Mus musculus: one gene and its partners. The protein of the gene in region 2 interacts with the protein of the main gene of each other region in a pairwise test. Links are inferred from orthologs where the notes say so. Each region holds a gene or a part of one and is shown on either strand. Other genes may lie near its edges.

Region 1 (4,206 bases), on a different chromosome or scaffold from region 2:
ATTGTCTTAGGAAGCTGAAAATGAAAATCTGTCAGCTCCGTAGTGTGAATATCCAGATATAGAAAGGGAAGGAAGGGGCCATGAGGGGGAATAGAGGGATTGGGATGTGTTTGCAGAGAACACACACAGTTTAGACTCACTGTGTGCCTAAACGTGGGCTTGAGAGCAGTACTCTCTTAAGAGATGTGCCCTTGGACCACCCAGAGAGAGTCACTTTAGTTGATGTATTAGGGTCACTAAGACCCTGATGGGACTTGCATTTCCCAAGTCCTTCTGGAAATGCCTGTTGTCAATACCGCCACCGTGTGGCTGTAAGTTGCAAGGACAACGATGGTAGATTCCTGAAAACTCGAGGTCATCCTTTAGACTGCGAACATGATTTTTTTTCCCTTACATATTTTGGATTTCTTAACCCACTTTTGGTTTTTGAAAAGAGTGGAGAAGGACCTTCGTTTTATTTTTTTCCTTGAGCCAAGGCCTCCTGTAGCTTCCGGTGGTCTTGACTTTTGCTATAAAGCCAGGGATGACCTTGAACTCCTGATCTGCCTGTACCTCCTAAATTCTGGAATTACAGGCACGTGTCAGCTCGCCTGTCTTAGGCCGTGTTGAAGAATCAAACCCAAGGGCTTCCCGGACGCTGAATTCTACCAACTGATCTACATCTCCAGTCCCTCTTCCCCACCAGGTTTAGAATCAGTCTTAATTATTTCTCAGCGGACAGTTGGTTCTCCCTCCTGGCTATACATTAGAATCACTTCGGGGAACCATATAAACTCTGGACGTGTGGGCCCCACTTTAGAGATCTTGACTTAATTAACCTGGAGGCCCATAGATCGTTTTCAAGGCTTTTCAGCTTATCTAAAGTTGAAGCAAGAGTTGTGCCTCATGTCCTTATGTAATCTTTTATCTCTGTAGCCACAAACCCTTTATTAACCAGTCTTATCAGTGTCTAACAGGAGCCCAAACTGCCTATCTAGACTGAGCTTCGTCAGGCAGGCATCTCAGTTCTTCGTAGACCTTTGAAAATATTCAAGGAGAAGGTGAAATGTTATCAAGAAATGCTTATTGGGGTTGCCCCGTGCAGACAGTTCCTGAAAAAGGCTCGCAGTCAGGGCGTGAGGGGGAGCTGTAGGGAGCGCAGGCATCCAGTGATAATAAGGCAGCCCCGGCCTCACTTTCACTTGCAACCGCAAATGTGTGTATTTCTAGCTTCTCGGGGATCAAAGAAACACCATGGTGACTGAGCGACTATCAGGCGGAGCGTCCAGGAAGTGTCAAAGCGCCTGCTACAAAGTAGCCGCAGCAAGTCCGGGTCCGGTGGGAGTGGAGGCGGGAAGAAGCCCCGCCCCGTGGGCGGAGCTAACGATAGAGCGCGGCGTGGACCCGCCTTCCCGGCGCGCCAGGTGGTGTTGTCCCGCCCCGCTGGGAGGCCATCGACTGCGTCAGTTCGATTGGTCAGCCTGGCTGCGCTAACGGTCGCGTAGGCGGGGCTTAGGCCGCGGGGGCGAGCGCGGTGGAAGCCACGGGCTGTGACCGAGGTGAGTGGCGCTTGGGGTCGCCGAGGACTTTACGTGGGCCCCCTTCAGGTGCACGCCCAAAGGTGGCTTCTCCGGAATCCGGAGCGTCCCACTCACCAGCCAGGGCCCTCAGAATGGAGTCGCCCCGGCTCCTACGCGCTAGCTAGGAAATGCGCGTGCAGGTGTGGGCGTGGACCTCCCTGCGGGGAGCCCGCCCGTCGCTTTGTGTCCCTCGCTCCTCACTCAACCTCTTCTCCCAGCCGAGTGTTGAAGGTGTGCGACCTGGTAGAGGAAGCAGGAACTGAGCTTAGACTCCTACATGGAATCGGCTGGGTTCCGGGCTAGCTCCAGTTCTCTTTGCGGCGCTGTCAGGTGATAGCGATTTGGAGCCAAGTGGGAGATCGCGGAGTAAAGGGTAGGCGAGTACCCCTCCTGTCAGACTCATTACAAATTTAAGGACTCCGCCTTTATGTGGGTCCACGTTGATTAATGTGAAAAACACAGCAAAGCCTAATCAAGGTTCCCACTATTATCAACTAATCAATAATTGTTCACGCCACGGTGCAGACGTAGAGAAAGAGGACAACCTTGGGCGTCGGTCATTGCCTCTACCTTGTTTGAGACAAGGTCTTTTGTTTTTCTGCATACTGTAGGGGATGGAGGGGAGAGCTGCAGAGTCCGATCTCCCTACAGGAGGCCCGGGGTTACAGAATTCTCGCCTCCTGTGGATTCTGAGGATTGCTTCTCAAGCTTTCTTGGGACAAGTGCCTTTACCCACTGAGCTGTCTCTCTAGCCTGCCACTTTATTTTGTAATCATATCAGCGCTGCAGGCATTGGTTTCAATCTTGTGCATTGCATGGATTTTTGTAAATAGTAAATAGCTAGTAAATGGTAAACCGTGAAGAGCAAGTTGCAATGTTGTTGGAATTGAATTGTTGATTCACGTTAAGGCAAGGTTTCATGCAGGCCGTCTGAGGACGACATTGAATTCCTGATCCTCCAACCTCTGAAATGCTGGGGTTACAGCTAAACACCACCACACCCAGCTATTATATTTATGGGGGTTTTGTTTTTTTTTTTTTTTTGTTTTTGTTTTTTGTTTTTTGAGGCAAGATTTCTTTATGTAGCCTTGGCTGTCCTGGAACTAGCTCTCTAGACCCAGCTCACCTAGAACTCACAGAGATCCTCCTGCCTCTGCCTCCTGAGTGCACACCACCATTGCCTGGCTATAAAATTTTAGTATGTGTTGTATTTTAACAGATCCTCAGATACCTACAGGGCAATTAATGAACTGTTGTGAAACATGGATGGACTGTGTCAAAATATACACTTTTCCCCCCATGATGGCTGTCACTTGTACTCACACTCCCAGGGCTGAGAGGGATGGGTTGCCTAGGCTAGTTCTAGGTCAGCCAAGGTTCTGTTTCAAACATCTCCAGTTTCATCTTTTTCTCATTTTGTTTTTCTCTTATCTTCTTTTTCTCTTATTTTCCTTTTCTCTCTTTTCTTTTTCCCCACCCTCCTTTTCTTGAGACAAGATCTTGCCATGTTGTCCAGGTTGTCTTGGAAGTCACTATGTAGACCAGTTTGGCTTTGAACTTACAGGAGTCCACTAGGATTTGCTTCCTGAGTGCTGGGAATAAAGGCATGCATCACCATCCGCCACTAAACATTTTTACCACTTTTAATTATGTGCGTGTTCATGTGTACAGGTACTCGTGGGGGCCGAGGAGTTGGATCTCCTGGAGCTGGAGTCATAGGTGGTTGTGAGCTGCCAGGCGTGGGTGAAGGGGATTGAACTCTGGTCCCCTGTAAGGGATAACATGCTCTTAGCACTGTGCTGTTTCATTTCTGTTTGTTTTTGTTTTGGTTTTGGTTTTTTTGTTTTTGTTTTGAGACAGGGTCTCTCTATATAGTCCTGGAACTCACTGTGTAGACCAGGCTGGCCTCGAACTCACAAGATCTGCCTGCCTTTGTCTCCTGAGTGGTAAGATTAAAGGTGTCTACCACTGTGTTTGGCTTCTTTCTTTTCTTGAGATAGGGTTTTACTATGTAGCCTGGGCTGTCTCATATCCTTCCTAAGACCCAAAGCTGGGAATTATGGGTATGTGATTTTTTTTCTCCTTTTTGTAACACTTGGCTTTATTTGCCACGTGGCTAAACGACATCCGTCCTCTACTTCCTACTCTAGGAGTCCTGTGTGTTAACAACACTCTGTAAAGGTTCTGCCTTGGCCCTAGGATGCCGTTATTTTTTTTTTTTTCCTGTGACTTTCAAGGTTCCAAAGCCGTGTCTTGTTAATAGCCTGGATGGGGAAAAGATTACTACAGACGATTAGCATGTTTGCATTAATAGGTAATACTTTGTGTCAATTTGTAATAATTGGAAGTGTGCTCTTGAAAAAGCTTACAGGTTTTTACTATGACTTTTTAAAGAACACTTTCAGAACTCAGAGAACCTTGGGGGTTACAGGGGGTGGGGGCTTGATCACGGGTGTAAATAAGTTCTCTGCTTCCTGCTTTTACTTGAGTACACTTGCAAGCAAGGATAACTACCCTTGAAGGCCACATATCAGAATGATAGATTTGAATATCCTGCACATGTTTCAATAAAGCAATAGGAGGAAGGACAAGGGGGAAAGGAAGGGGGGCATCTGTGGAAAAAGCTGTTCGTTCTTGTTGCAGTTTT
Region 2 (3,518 bases):
GGGCTTTCGATGACAGAAGTCCTTGTGTAATTCTGAGGACTGAACTTAGTCCCATCACTATGGATGTCCTGAGGGCTGGCGTTCCTTTCAACAGTTTCTTCACTTTTATGGCCGAGCAGCAACTGAAGAAGAGTGACTTTCTGGTGTGAATTCAGCTTGGAATTTGTTGAGGTATCTTGATCTTCTTTGATGTCAACGCCGGGGATCTTGGGATCCCACGTGTTTAACAAGGACTGGGTTAGGTTCTCCAGCGAAACGGGCCGCTCAGCTTCCGGCTTTTCGATCCGGTGTTTGCAAGACAGGTCTATGGGAACGCAATTGGAGTACGAGCTTTCGTCTCCACTGCTGTCATCTGTAAAGCTCGGGTTGTTATCGGAGTACTCATCAATCGTGGTGGGCGTGCTACTCTCAAAACTGCTCGCTCTCTCGTTCTGGCTGTGCCCGTTCATCGGCGTGGGTATGGTCTGGCTTTTGAGGAGATGCAAAAGCAGACTGTTATTAGCAGCCTGCTTTAGGTTGTTTCTTTCCAGTGAGTTCTTATAGCTCGTGTTTTTGGGGGAGGAAGGGACAACACCCATTGGACTCTGAAAGGTGGCAGCGTTATTCTTGTTGGCCACCAGTTTGCTTGCCGGCAGTGCTCTGGCCTGCCCGTTGAGATGGCCAGACACCCCTTTGGAGAGCTGCGAACTGCCCACGTCCTTCTGCCCATTCTCTTGCAATCTGGCCATGGCTGCAAGTCTTTCGCTTGCCACCTGATGTGCGTTCTGCGTTTTTAGAGCATGTTCCCGAGAGTACTGCTGCAGGTGGGCCTCGCTGGACAGGAGCAGCGCCAACTGGCTGCAGGCAACACTAGGCTTTGGGGAGGCAGCGGGACTCGCCCTTTTCTCCACCATGCTGGCAACAGCCTGTAATCTTGCAGCACATGACAAGGGCTCACTCATGACCTTTGTCCCACTTTGTCCCACTGCGGGATGGGATGACTCAACAAAGCTATCTCTGATAAGGTTTGGAGTCACGTCAGGGAGGGTGGGACCTGACTTTTGATCCTTGGTTTTACTTTTCTTCAACAGAGTTTTTAAGTGACTTGAGGCCACGCCATAGCACCTTAAATCCTTCTCCACTTTTAAAGACTCGTGACTGAGGGCATATCCCTGCTCCTTGAGGCTCTGTCTAATCTGCTGTGACAGAGCAACAGTCTGCAGCCTAGAGCTGAATGACTGAAGCAAAGAGGCCAGCAATGTGCTATCCTGTTTGCCTTTAGGCACACTGTCAACCATGCCAGCCAGCAACGCTTCCTTCTTTACGTTTAAATTCACGATGGAATCAGACAGCCTCTTCCGCTTTGCCGCGTTCCAGTCCTCGGAAGACTGCAGCAGTCTGGCTTTTTTGAGGTGCAGCATGCCAGATCCCTGGTACGTCTGGGTACTGACAGTGGGACCATTGCTTTGACAGGAGGGAAACGCACTGCCCGAGAGGTTAAAGTTCTGGTCTTCCTCTTTGTGGCCAGCAGACTTTTTGTTAATGGCAGTGCCTGATCCCCCTGCTGCCTGATGCATTAGTAACCCTTCGAGGTAAGTTAAGACAATAGAATCCTGATGCACATCAGAGCCAAGCTCTTCTCCATGAGTCATGTTCAATACAAGCGCTCACAGGGGCTCGGCTTCCGTTCACGTGAAAGAGCTCCTCTCGTCAGTAAGATCCCACGTGACGTCAGGAAGTGAGCGTCACCTGATCACCTCCCATAGCAGTCGGGCAGAGATGCACTGTTAACATTCTGACCAGGGGATCTTCAGGCAGTGACGAGGGGCTCAGAGGCTGGGGCAAACTCGGGTGCAGACTACAGCACTGATGAGTGGCTAGGCAAGGGCCAGCCTCGCAACTTCCTTAGCACAGCGGCAGCGCTGGCACCCAGGTCTCAGGGAATATGCTGGTTTTCTTTCTTCATCATCTTTCGTTGCTCACCAAACGCACGTCAGTATCTAAAAATATAAAAATAAAAATAGTTGAGGAGAAACAGAGCTGGCATCATGCTCATTACCTATAAGGAATAGAATACAGCATTGTGAGTTTCACATAAGGTATAACACATTATAAATATAGTTTGCACACACACACACACACTATGCACACATACACATGACAGCCACATCCATTTAACATGTGATTTGTAGGTATGTATCCTTAAAAATACTTCACTGCAACGGAAGGATGAGCTACGGCCTTGCGAACACAGCACAGTTTACTAAGAGGCTCCAATGCTGTACAGTAAGTAACACACACGTACGTGTTTCATTGTTTATTTCCTACCTTCCCCGAAAAACGAGACTGCAGGTAAATAAATAATCATTTCCTAAATCAGAACCCACCCCGGATGTTTAACTTGAGGGATAACGGGAAATCCCGAGTTCGTGCTTCTCATTCACACGTCATCCAACACAACGCTCAGACGCCAGTCTCCATGGAGATCTGTTTCAGCACTGTGGAATGACATGAAGCCGGGGAGCTATGACAGCGAATGCTAGCACTGGGCCCTGAACCTTGACCCACATATCTAGGACAGTATAAGTATAGTATAAGGAAAATCCTCTTCGCCCGGGGCGGTCTATTTCTTCTTACATGCCCAATGAACATGGACACAGTTAAACAGTAAATGTGATTCAGAAAATATCTTAAGGCTCCTTTAAAGTTTTAAGTGAAAAATTTAATAAAAGAAAGGCAAATTTAAATCTTTTTCGTTTTCTGCCCAAAATACCAAAGAAATTTGATAAAGGAAGGGTTCCCACTAGATGAGTTAGAATCTGAACCCAGAAGACCCCATGCTCATGAAGGGTGATGCTACCATTGACCTCTGTATGCCACACCTGACTAGCGTGTTCAGAAAGCTTAATATCCAGGTGGATTTTCCTCTAATTCAAGAATAAAATGGGTGAACAAGGTCGCACTAGATAACAAGAAATACAGAGTTTTCATCCCATCAGTCGCTGTACTGGAAGGACTTCATCATTCTGAGGTTTTACTGTCTGGAAGCTAGAAGCCCTTCTGCCCACCAAGACTCCGAGCAGTCACAGTTCACTCGAGACTTTTCATTAAGTGGGAAAATGCCAAAGGCAGGCGCATGACAAAAGAAGTCAGAAGGAAAGAGATGATGTGAGAGTGAGGTCATTTATTCAACTGCTTACCACAGTTGCAGTTAATCTAAAAATGAAAAAGATTTACCAATTATTAAGACAAGGAAGGTTCCTGCTCTCTATTCAGCATAATTAGCTGTTCAAAGTTTTAAGAGTAACACATTCTGGACCGAAAATGAAATAAAATATATTGAATTTGTCGTGCTTAATAACAACTTTTAAATGTGAGTCTACAAGTAGGATCTTGCAGATTTTTTTATGTTCTGAGAGATGACGCAGCACAGTGGGTTACACAACTGGTCTGCAGTTGGCTTTGAAGAGTGAAGACACTTCATGACTGCCTCCTCTTATTGGGGACTCCATTACTTTCCTTTTGCCTTAAGCCCAGTG
Region 3 (4,191 bases), on a different chromosome or scaffold from region 2:
ATGCAGAACGAATGCTGGTTTTAAACGGGAAGAGTGGGCTGAAGAGATGGCTCAGGGATTACAAGTCCATACTGCTCTTGCAGAGGACCCTAGTTCAGTTCCTGGCACCTGTGAGGAACAGCTCACAACCACGTATAACCCCAGCACCAGGGAAACTCGACAGGCACCAGCACTTACATGTGTACACATCCCACACAATTCCATGTCATCAAAATAAAAACCCCAGGGTGTGGTGGCATGTGCTTACAATCAATAGGAAGGGTTAGGGAAGGTACTAGCAGAGAGAGGGTGGATGAAGTGGGTAGAGGACTGAACCTTGAGCTCTGGGAGGCTGAGGATCTGCTCAAACGATACTCGGGTGTGCAGTGACTCCTCCACGGTCCGCTGCTCTGGGGGAAGCAGCTCACAAAAGCGTCTGTGGGCTCTGGCAGAGAGAGGGGAACTTATTGGTGGCCTCAAGCAGTCAGTCTCCCTGTATTTATGACATCCCCATTCTGCGGTTTGAATGCCCTATAAACCAGCTGTGAAACTAAGTCACACACCCAGGATTCCCAGTCATTGGGCAATCTTTAGCCAAAGAGGGTAATTCACAAAACAGCAGAGGCTTGGGGGGGTCCCTTCTTAGGGTGGGCAATTATAAGAACTTACCCATGTCTGCAAGACACTATCTGAAGGGACTCTGACTAGCTTGGTGAGCATGGTTCTGGCAGGCCTTGCTCACTCTGCAGGGCCCAATTCCTTCTACCTTGCTACAAACCTACATTGCTAAAGCCAGCCCCCAAAGTCTATTCCCCTATTTGGCCACTTCCTCCTCCTGAGGCCGACGACCAAGGTCCAGCTATCAAAGTATTCACGTCCAGCAATCAAAAGCCCCCTTTGGCTAAAATTAAACACCTCCTCGTAGCCCAGGGTTTCCCCTTATACCTTTATAATCTGCCATTTTCCTATGTCCATGTCTGTCTCCTCTCTATCCAGAGGCAGTCCTTTCTCCTGTAGGACAAATACTCCTTCCACCTCTCCATTGTTCCCTTCCCCTTCTTCCTGTCTTCGAACTCATGTCTTTGTTATTTCTTGCCCTCTGTCCCTCTAAGGCAATAAATCTCCTTTGTGCTAAGAACTTGGTCTGGGGGTCCTGAGCTGCGACTTTCCCTTTCAGTGTCAGGCATTCTTTGCAACAGTCCTGGCAGGAAAAAGATAACTCTAGAGACATCTGTGCCTGTCCCTTTGGCTATTGAACTACAGAAACAATGTCCCCCGAGAAATTGGAATTCCCCGGCAATCTCGTGTTGTGAGAAGGATGAATTGAAGCCTGTTGTCTACTTAGGAGAAAATGTCTACCAGGAAGAGATTTTACACAGACGGCTCTGGTAACTTGTCAGAAGATCACCTTTCATGAGACTAGAGCTGAGACAATGAAGGAGAGACTCCATCTTGCCCAGGACTGCTGCTTAATTTTACATACCCTTGCCCTTTATTTAAATATAAACCTCACATCAGCTGGACATGAAGATTGACTTAAAGATGGGGGGAGGAGCGGTCATGTCCATTCTTAGCTTTTTTTTTTTCCCAGTATGGCCACATTGGATACATTTCGTTTCTCTGCTTTTCAATATTGTCCCTTTCCTTGGCCTACTGAGGACAGGTAGCACAGCCTAGCTGGTTAGGACTGCCTGTGTGGGCCAAGTACCTGGACTCTAACATTACAGTAACAAAAACACATGTTACCTCCACTCCAGAGACTCCTCTCAGCCACCACCTCTTTCCCAGTAGAATTTCATTGTGGGGCTAGGAACCTAACTCAAGCGCTCTGGCCAGCAAATCACTTATAGTGTGCTTTATAGTCAAGTTCTCAGAACTCTCTGAACCTGATTCCTTGATCTGTAACCTCCTCCTGAAGTAATGTGTGGATCACTCAGGAGCTACTGGGCAGAGTAAGGGTTCAGTAAACGTTAACGGTTACTGAATTAAACAGGTAAAGTTGGGATTGGAGCGAGCCACGTACAAGACCTCTTGGTTTTGCCAGAGGGCAAAGTCCGCAAAGAGTCACAGCAGTTCCTTTTAGAAGCGAGCAGGAAGCTCGGCAGTGAGGAGGCTAGAGGAGCTCAAACAGTTCAACTTTTCCTGGATACACAGAAGTGTTTGCGTGGTGCAAAGGTGAGGCTCTGGAGCGGGTGGGACTTGCACTCTGAGCCTCCGACTCCAGATCCAGTGATCCTGACATCCCAGAAGCACAGCCCCACCCTCGGAGGTGAGACGTCCAATCCGTATCCCGCGAGAAAAGTACCCGCAAAGCCCTCCCCTGGCAATCCCGAGTTGGAGGACCGGGGTCAGGGCAGCACTCACAGGAGGATCTCCTGCTTGGTCAGGAACGTCAGGTCCTGAAAGGCAAATCCAGACAAGGGTCTGCAAGCCGCCCGAAAGCCACGGCCGCCCCGCCACCTGTTCCCCGAACCCCACTCCCCTGCGCGGGCTCGCACGCGAGCTCCGCGAGAACTGGCGCCCCGCGCACCTGGTACTCGGCCAGCAGCTCCTTAGACAGGCGACTGCCCGAACCTCCCATCGCCGCGGTGCGCGCACAGCTAGGCCAACTCTCCCCGGGACGCCGGCAACTTTCTCACTTCCGTCCTCGGGGCCGCGTCCCCGCCCAGTCCCCGTAGCAACCGCTGCCTGGCCTCCGCCCCCGGGCCCGCCCCTGCCTACAGTGCCCCGCCACCCTTAGCGCCGCTCAGCGGGCCGGCTCCCGGCTCCCCGCGGGCCCAGGAGAGCTGGAGGGAGGGCCCGGGGAGGAGCCGGACGCATCGGGGCGGGGCCCAGGCCTCGTGGCCCCGCCTTCTAGTGGGCGGGGCGGAACGAGCCATGCGCACGTGATGCAGACTGCGCCTGCGTCGCGGTCTTCACGCGTTTGCTGAGTTCCGGGACCCGTCTGTGCACTGAGCCTTGAGATGCATCCGCCTCACCTAAATCAAGTGCAGAAGACCCCAGCTCTGGGTGGAGGCGGGTAACCTCCATACTCGCTCCCGGGCTGGAGGAGATCCGGTGCCCCTCTGCGGATAGGGTCAGTCCTAGACTGTCTCACGGGACAAGAGCTGCAGCCTCTGCCACCGTGCCAATTCTTCCAGAAGAAGCTTAGCTTCCTCTTGAAGTGGCTCTTGAAGGTGTTTACTGGATTGTGCAGTTATCGCCCATTCGTGGAACAGTTAGCAAGGTAGGCTTCCATTTTACAAACAGGTTCAATTTCAGTGATGTGTCCGGACTCCGGTATTTAGAGGTCAGTTCTGTCCACAGGTCCCTCCTGCTGTTTTATCGTCACAGCTGGGGTGCCTCCTTTGATTCCTCCCACAAATTGCGAGCTTCCAGCTGTAGGAACCAAGATTTGCCCTTCTCTCCTCTCAAATAATAATCAGATGCAAGTATGAACATATTTACACTGTGTGAAAAAGTGAAGATTCCAAGCTTCCGGAGGAGGAAATGTGGATTTTGTGATCTGGGTGGTCAACTTGGTTGGATCTGGAGTCAAGGAGAAGGGAAACAGCTTGACACTCCTGTGAGGGATTTTCTTTTTTCTTTTTTTTTTTTTTTTTTGCTTCGTCACCTGGCACAACAGGGCCAAGTCAATTACAATTTATTTGAGAATATTTTAACTTCGTACTGGACTGGTATTCATTCCTAGAGAAGTCTGGTCCTTCATCCGGCCAGTCCAGCTAGATGTTCCATACCCTCTGGGTAGGAGACTGTAAACCTTGCTTCTCATGCTTCTTTCTCTCTGCTCCTTCTTTAGCCTCCAGGAGAGGTGCAGGCTCTACCGCAAAGCCCAGGGGCTATGGCTTGCTTTCCTGGTCCACTCAGGGTCTTACCTCATAGAAACCCCTGAGCAGAGGGATTTTCTTGATCAGTTTATTTGAAGTGCGAAAATCTACTGCGGCAGTGCGCTCAGGTGGCAACCCGTACCAAACGGAAACGGAAGATGGCTTTTGGCCTGTTTGCCTTGGCTTGCTGATAAGTCTCTATCCTGTACCTGCCACTAAGGATTTCCTTTAATGACATTAGAATCATAGTGTTCCAGCTGCCAACTCAGATTGAAGACCAACAGCTCTCTAGGAACCCAGCACCGGCTTGGGACTGCAGAGATGCATCCTTGGGGACAGCTGCCGCTGTTGATCAGCCCAGACAATACTGAGTAAACCAATTTAA
Region 4 (3,500 bases), on a different chromosome or scaffold from region 2:
TCCTTCTGCCTCAGCCCCAAAGTTCTGAGATGTATCATCGACCTAGGACATTTCAAGAGAGTCCTTCTTCAAAAGTAATCATCTTAGGGGTGCAGAGAGATGGTGCAGCTGTTGAGAGTATGTGCTTCTGTTAGGTTCCCAGCACCATATTAAGAAACTCAAACTCTAGGAGATCCTATACTCTCTTCTGAAGGTACTACTACACATGTGAAAAATTATTACACAGAGTAATAATTTTAGAAATCAAGATCTTTTGATACTTTGATAAAGAAATAAAAAGAATATATTTAAAAGCTGGATAAAATGGAAGACAATATTTCCTTCCTTTTTGTTTGTCTTTTGACAAATTTTAAATTTCACTCCAGCTTTTCAACTTTTAAAGTTGATAAGTGGTCCAGGAAGTGTCAGCCACATCTACTCTATGAGCTTTAGTATAAAAAGGGTTACTTCTGGAAAGGTTCACCTTTGGATTTTTGCCACATGTAACAGCAGTAATACGCATTTGGAGTAATTTCACTCAGTCTGACATTGTGTAGGACCAAGGAAAGTTGGCAGCCCAGAGTGGGTGCTTAATAACATTTAGTGAATGAATTAGTCAATTGCCTTTGTTTGTCCTCTCAACAAACATTTCTATCCCGAGACACTATTGCTGTCCCATTTCTCCATGTTTTAGAGATGTGAGCTTTGCCCTATTTGAAGGCGAGAGACTCCGGAGTACCACATTCTTGTGTGAAGATCTTACAGCTGATTTGGCTGCATCTATGGCACCTTCCTTACACCCTCACTTTATCATGTTTGTGTTTTATTTCCTATGCTTTGCTGATTTTTCCTTACTTTTAGCCTATGAGTATAGAGATAGGAGAAGATGTACAAATATTAACCCGGTATGGTCATCTTGACACCAGTGGAAACAGATACCATTGATCGCACATCTGCACTACAGAAGACAGTTTCCTGGTGGTAATGACCATTTCAAGTGAATTTCACATAGATTCATGTAAATAGAAATTACAGGAGGCTTTAAGGTACTAAGTACCTTTATACTGAAGACACCATTTGTATAGGAGGCAGGATATGAATGATCATGTAATTCAATGGCACCAAATACCATCCACGGATTGGGAATATACGAATCTCAGAAACGCACTGAACTGGGTTCCCCTCTAAAGGGACTGAATTCCATACTCTGCGATGATGGGTGCATCTCTGAACTGTTAAAAAGTTCCTTTCCTATGTTTGCTACAATTCCTAGTTTGCGGTTCTGGTCCCATTCTTTATTTTAAAGGTTAGAACACTGACTTCTTAAGGTGTTTGTTCAAGGCCATACTTCAAACAGGTCAGGTGTTATTCTTTTGATAAGAGTCACAAAAAATGTCACCTATTCCATATGCTTCCAAAACCTTACTGTAGAAGGCATGCCTAGTACACTTGACCCTGGGTATGCTTTCATGATAGCATTAATTGGTAGAGAATGGTATAGATAACCTAATGTGACTTCTTAGGGTATGTCAGAAGATTATAAGAACTCCCGCTGTGTTGTTTTGGAATTCTGGATTCTGGAACCCAGTGACTATACTGTCTGGAAGTCCAGGCCATCTGTGGAGCCATTTTTCTTACAGGGACAGCAACTGAAGCCCCAACACAGAGCCTTTGTTGATGCTACCCTTTCACCAGCAGATTGTTGCCCACGTGAGCAATAAAATGGATTCTCCTGTCCTGATGGGAATTGTCTCAGTGCACACCAGGAAAATAAGCATAGTAGGGAGAAACCATCCTTCTGAGCTCTATAAACTGTAGCCTTGAGCACAAAATAAATAAATGATTATTTAACCAAATTTTAGGATGGTTAGATAACTGAGATAACATTGGAATCAGTGCTTGAGTCAGAGTTTTTGCCCATTGCTATCATTGGTTAAAGAATCAACATCATGCTACCATAACAACTCTAGGTGGCCTATGTTCAAATGGCAGCTTTATCATGGTTTGTGATATTGAACACGGCCTTTTACTCTCGTTGTTTCAAGTTTGAAATGATACCAATCTCATAAAAATAAATGAAACATCATGTGTAAATGTGGAGATATGTACGAGGGAAAAGGATGTTATTTTCAGTGTGAATGAGTCCAGGAAGATGAACCCAAAAGCTACTGGGTTCCAATTTTCTTTTCAAAAGGATCCAAGAGAGACACAAGTACTTTTTTTTTTGCTAAGGCCACAAATAACGTCAGTATTTCCTGTGTGTTAAAGAGAACATCAGAGAAGAAGGAAGGATCCCAACACAGAGGAGTTTCTTCCAGTAGATCCAGGCTGCAGGCTATTCTCATTAAAATGATTGGAAGTGACCACAGAGGCCCAGCTCAGCCAGCTTGGATGTTTTTGTTCTCTTGCAGGAGCAAGAAGCTGGTTTTAGCGCCAGCTCAGCAATTCAGCCACCTTGACATGCTAATTACTTTCACTGCCTGTCAAGCTGGGCATCTCAGCCTCGGCAATTAATAGCTCTACTTTTCAATAAGCAAAATTGTATTTGACTTCAAAGGGGTATATGAATGGATATCAGGGCATTTTTATTACTGAGTTTCCTGAGGGAGTTAGGTGACTGTGTGGGTGGCAAAAAAGACCTACCTGTGGAAGCAGGGTTTTCTAGGACCCGCGGAGTGCTGACGGCCAAACAGTCCCTGTCTGAAATAGGCCCTCACAAGTCAGAAGGCTCACCTGACTTCAGAAGTAAGATCTGATCGTTCTGACACAGCTCCATGAAGCCTGTTATCCGCTTGGCGAACTCCACCACGTACTGGATAGCATGGGTGATCTGGATGGCACACTGCTGCCACAGAGCCTCCCTGGACTGAAGCAGAGAGGACACAGCCCTTGAATTGACCACCTTCCAAGGAGATGAGGAAATACGCATGCCTTGCCCCACCTGTCACTGCCACCCAAGGTGGGAAGTGATTTTTTTCTTTCTTTTTTGATTACGTGAATTCTATTGTTCTCAACTATCAAAGTACCATAGCTAAACAAGGAGAAATGATGTTTATAGAATGCAAAATAAATATTTTTCTTTACTATTTTTCTCCATTTCTTACTGCAACAAACTCAGTCTTAGTTCAATAGCCATAAACAAAGCCCATGTTCAGGAATAGTGAGTGATTTCTATCCTAGCATCCACCATAATACTGTCTTTTTGGGAACCTGGTGGACACTGAAGATAATATTTTCATGTTGTGTTCTTTTCCCAGAATTTAAGAAAAAAATCCTGATATTGTGGTTGTCTATTATTTTATGGGGGAGGGTGAGTTTCACCATGTAATCCAGGCTGACCTAGAACAAAATGCAGAGCTTAAAGGGGTGTGGTGTGTGTGGGGGGGGTCAGCTTCAGAAGGTTCTTCTCCTTTGCCTTCTGAGTGCCAGAATTGTAGGCAGAAGCCACCAAACATGAGTTATAAATTGTTTTGTTTGTTTGTTTTGTTTTTGTATAAAAGAAATTCCATAGGAAAGATGAG
Region 5 (3,518 bases), on a different chromosome or scaffold from region 2:
TACCAAATGATGACCTCTAGCTTCCAAAGGGGCATGTACACACAGTCATACATGTATGCAAATACACACACTCACATGTGTACATGCACATAGGTTCACACACACATACAGAATATATCTCTACGCATCGTGTGAGCCCAATGCTTTTTACAAATTATCATTCAAGAAACTGGTTTTGTACCAGTAATGAACAAAATAGAATACACTGCATTGTCTTCCTGTGTCGCACAACCTAATACACAGTTCCACTAATACTCGTTGAAAGAATTTCAAAAGGAAACAGAATTAAAAGAATAAGCTTTTAAAAATAAGCCAAGCCCTAAGCTAGACCAGAAGTGGTAAGGAACCCCTGTCCTTGATCCCTTCTCTGTGCCCCACAGCCCAGGAGAGAAACTACAGGGTTTGGTCTGGTGGTGCCTCACTCTGTGGAGAGGTCAGCGAGTCTGGTCTTGATGGGAAACCTGGCACCACACAGCCCCACTGCACTAAGATGTAGGCAGTTGGCACCACACAGCCCCGCTGCACTAAGATGTAGGCAGCTGGCACCACACAGCCCCGCTGCACTAAGACGCAGGCAGCTGGCACCACACAGCCCCTCTGCACTAAGATGTAGGCAGCTGGCACCACACAGCCCCACTGCACTAAGACGCAGGCAGCTGGCACCACACAGCCCCACTGCACTAAGACGCAGGCAGCTGGCACCACACAGCCCCACTGCACTAAGACGCAGGCAGCTGGCACCACACAGCCCCACTGCACTAAGACGCAGGCAGCTGGCACCACACAGCCCCACTGCACTAAGACGCAGGCAGCTGGCACCACACAGCCCCACTGCACTAAGACACAGGCAGCTGGCACCACACAGCCCCACTGCACTAAGACACAGGCAGCTGGCACCACACAGCCCCACTGCACTAAGACGCAGGCAGCTGGCACCACACAGCCCCACTGCACTAAGACGCAGGCAGCTGGCACCACACAGCCCCACTGCACTAAGATGTAGGCAGCCTGCACCACACAGCCCCACTGCACTAAGACGCAGGCAGGCAGCTTTACCGACCAAGTTGGCAAGGAAAGTTGAAAACCATGAAAATGAAGAATGGTAAATGTCAGGAAGTACAGTGTGGCTTAGGGGCATAGCGCAGTTGGTAGAGAGCCTGCCTCACATGCAGGAAGCAGCCCTGGGTTCCATGTCCAGCGCCGAACAAACTGGGCTTAGTGGTGGATGCCTATGATCACTGTGGAGGTGGAGGATCCTATGTTCAGGATCTTTGATGACTAAATAATGGATTCAAGGTCAGCCTGGGTTACGTGGAACCTTGTCTCATAAACAAACCAACATTAAAGTTAAACGCCAGCCCACCGTCATGACATAAGCATACCCTATATTAAACCTAGGAAAAAATGAACAGATAGACATTCTTTGATGAGCACAGATTTTTTTTTCCTAGCACTATCTTTACAAGGTTGTAAACAGATATCTTTTCTGGCCCCTATAATCTTAGGGTTCTGGAGTAGAAACAAGCAATCCAGACATCCATACACCCCCACTCAACCCACTCCCAAACACACACTCATCTAAGCTGCTCACGTTCACAAAGTGTAAGCCAGCCCAAGGGTGACATTTATATCAGATCATCTCTGCAAAATTGCTTGCAAGCCAAAGTGTAAATACTAGAGGAATGATTTATCATAGTCTTGTACCTTGAATGCTTCTTTTAAAAAAGGCCTTACATCCTTCACAGGACCAGACACCGTAATGATACCCAGATGCATAATCACTGCAGACGGCGCAGAAGTGAGCATCCCTCTTGGCGCTTGGACTAGTAACAGGGCTGGCACAACCGCTCCCGCCAAGCTTCCTCTTCAGGGTCTCTCTGGGGGAGCAGAGAACACAGCCATTGTCAAAGGACACAACAAGAGAGGGGAAGGGCTTGGCAGAAAAAAAAAATAGCATGAACTTGGTCAAATTTAATCTCTTTGCCTTCCAGAGCTAGGGATAAATATGTTCCAGGAAACCTGATATCAGATCACAGGGAGCTCCATCGCAGTGGAGACTGACATTTAAGAGCCTACGTGGTGAGTCCAAGCCCTCAGAGGCTACGAAGAGGGCAGCTCAGGGCTGGGCTGGGATCCGTAGCTCTAAGAAGGAATTGTCCAGCAGAGGAGCAGCAGGGGCAGCTGCACACTCTGCCCATGGGCTGATTTGCCAGGACATGTTTCTTTTGGGGAGGGAGATAGTAGAGCTATTGCTAGTTCAGAAACGATAAAAACAAACTTCACCCTTTAAAGAGAGATATGTTAAAAGCACTTGTCTTCAGCCACAACCTACAGTTTTTATATTTGTTTCTTTAGCTTACCAATAAATAAAAATATTAAGGAGAAAAAATAAATTATTGTGTATTTTCTTAAAGGTTGTTTTGGTTTGGCTTGGTTTGGTTTGGTTTGGTTTGGTTTGGTTTGCCAGAGGTTCTGGGTTTGGGGGTACAGCAGGTTAGACCCAGAGCCTTGAGGATGTTAAACATGCCTCTAGTACTGAGATGGGCCCTCCAGCTCCTGTCTCCTCTAAGATTTATAACAATATTTGAAATATTGTTATAATAATAATAATATTATTATTGTAAATTATTTTTATATAAATATTGTTACAAATTTTTTTTTGTTTTGCCTTGTCTTTTGAAACAGGGTCTTTCTATGTAACCCTGGCTGTCCTGGAACTCACTATGTCGACTAGGCTAGACCTGGCTTGTGAGTGCTGGGATCAAAGGTATGCACCATCACACCCTACAAGTAATGCATTTAAGAGTCAGTGTGCCCTAACGTGGTTCTCTCTTCCAGCCCTCCGTTTCTTCCAGTCACGCATTCATATGTTCTCCTCTCTCTCAACAGCCATCGGTAGAGTCGAAAACCTTACAAATTAGACAGAAGCAATACATCACGTGGCCATGCATTCAGAGTTCAACTTGTGTTAACTTCAGATCTTTTCAACAGAATCCTACAGTTGGTGTCTCATTGCCCCTGACAAAGCACCACCTCAGCTCATCACTAAAGCCTGTGCCCGTTAGCTTTCCTGGCTTTGCATGGCTACTTCGTGGAAGTTGTAGTGTTACCATGGCTACGTTCATCCTGGAGACAATTTGTCATCAACAGTAAGTAACCTGTCATTTTACACTAAGACTCTAATCTGACTGTGAAAAGCAAACCAAACCAAACAAACCAAACAAAAGAAAACAAACCACTTAAAACCCAACACCTTCACCTAAACCAAACGGATACAAGTTTGATGTTTGCTGCATAAAGAGACGATTATTCATTATGGTGAACTCTCTCCATAGTGTCCATCCATAAGCGCAACATTTTAAGAACTAGAATGTCAGAGCAGGACAGAGCAACATGTCTCCAGTATCCTAAGAATGCAGGTGACAGAGTAAAGACCTTTTCTAACATGTCTTTCTTCATGCTAACCTGTAAAGAAAGGATCAAGCCACCACCCATGGTTTACAGGGCTTTACCTGTTT

Evidence for each region.
Region 1: the proteins of Nrip1 (region 2) and Cep70 interact in binary tests that used the Homo sapiens proteins (3 or more experiments, as listed by UniProt). The link is inferred for Mus musculus from reciprocal best matches to the Homo sapiens genes NRIP1 and CEP70.
Region 3: the proteins of Nrip1 (region 2) and Cib1 interact in a two-hybrid assay, tested with the Homo sapiens proteins (2 studies listed by BioGRID and IntAct). The link is inferred for Mus musculus from reciprocal best matches to the Homo sapiens genes NRIP1 and CIB1.
Region 4: the proteins of Nrip1 (region 2) and Rorb interact in a two-hybrid assay, tested with the Homo sapiens proteins (2 studies listed by BioGRID). The link is inferred for Mus musculus from reciprocal best matches to the Homo sapiens genes NRIP1 and RORB.
Region 5: the proteins of Nrip1 (region 2) and Esr2 interact in a two-hybrid assay, tested with the Homo sapiens proteins (2 studies listed by BioGRID, with this or other methods). The link is inferred for Mus musculus from reciprocal best matches to the Homo sapiens genes NRIP1 and ESR2.

What each region holds. Positions count from the first base shown.
Region 1 is NC_000075.6:99,241,953-99,246,158, forward strand, and holds the start of Cep70 (centrosomal protein of 70 kDa), read left to right. Parts: upstream 1-1,388; 5' UTR 1,389-1,538; exon of another isoform or gene 1,539-1,932; intron 1,933-4,206.
Region 2 is NC_000082.6:76,293,037-76,296,554, forward strand, and holds part of Nrip1 (nuclear receptor-interacting protein 1), read right to left. Parts: intron 1,980-3,518; 5' UTR 1,632-1,979; coding exon 1-1,631. UniProt on the Homo sapiens protein: Modulates transcriptional activation by steroid receptors such as NR3C1, NR3C2 and ESR1. Also modulates transcriptional repression by nuclear hormone receptors.
Region 3 is NC_000073.6:80,230,001-80,234,191, forward strand, and holds the start of Cib1 (calcium and integrin-binding protein 1), read right to left. Parts: upstream 2,806-4,191; 5' UTR 2,561-2,805; coding exon 2,510-2,560; intron 2,379-2,509; coding exon 2,344-2,378; exon of another isoform or gene 2,003-2,343; intron 425-2,002; coding exon 316-424; intron 1-315. UniProt on the Homo sapiens protein: Calcium-binding protein that plays a role in the regulation of numerous cellular processes, such as cell differentiation, cell division, cell proliferation, cell migration, thrombosis, angiogenesis, cardiac hypertrophy and apoptosis.
Region 4 is NC_000085.6:18,957,697-18,961,196, forward strand, and holds part of Rorb (nuclear receptor ROR-beta), read right to left. Parts: intron 2,846-3,500; coding exon 2,713-2,845; intron 1-2,712. UniProt on the Homo sapiens protein: Nuclear receptor that binds DNA as a monomer to ROR response elements (RORE) containing a single core motif half-site 5'-AGGTCA-3' preceded by a short A-T-rich sequence.
Region 5 is NC_000078.6:76,163,745-76,167,262, forward strand, and holds part of Esr2 (estrogen receptor beta), read right to left. Parts: coding exon 3,513-3,518; intron 1,878-3,512; coding exon 1,705-1,877; intron 1-1,704.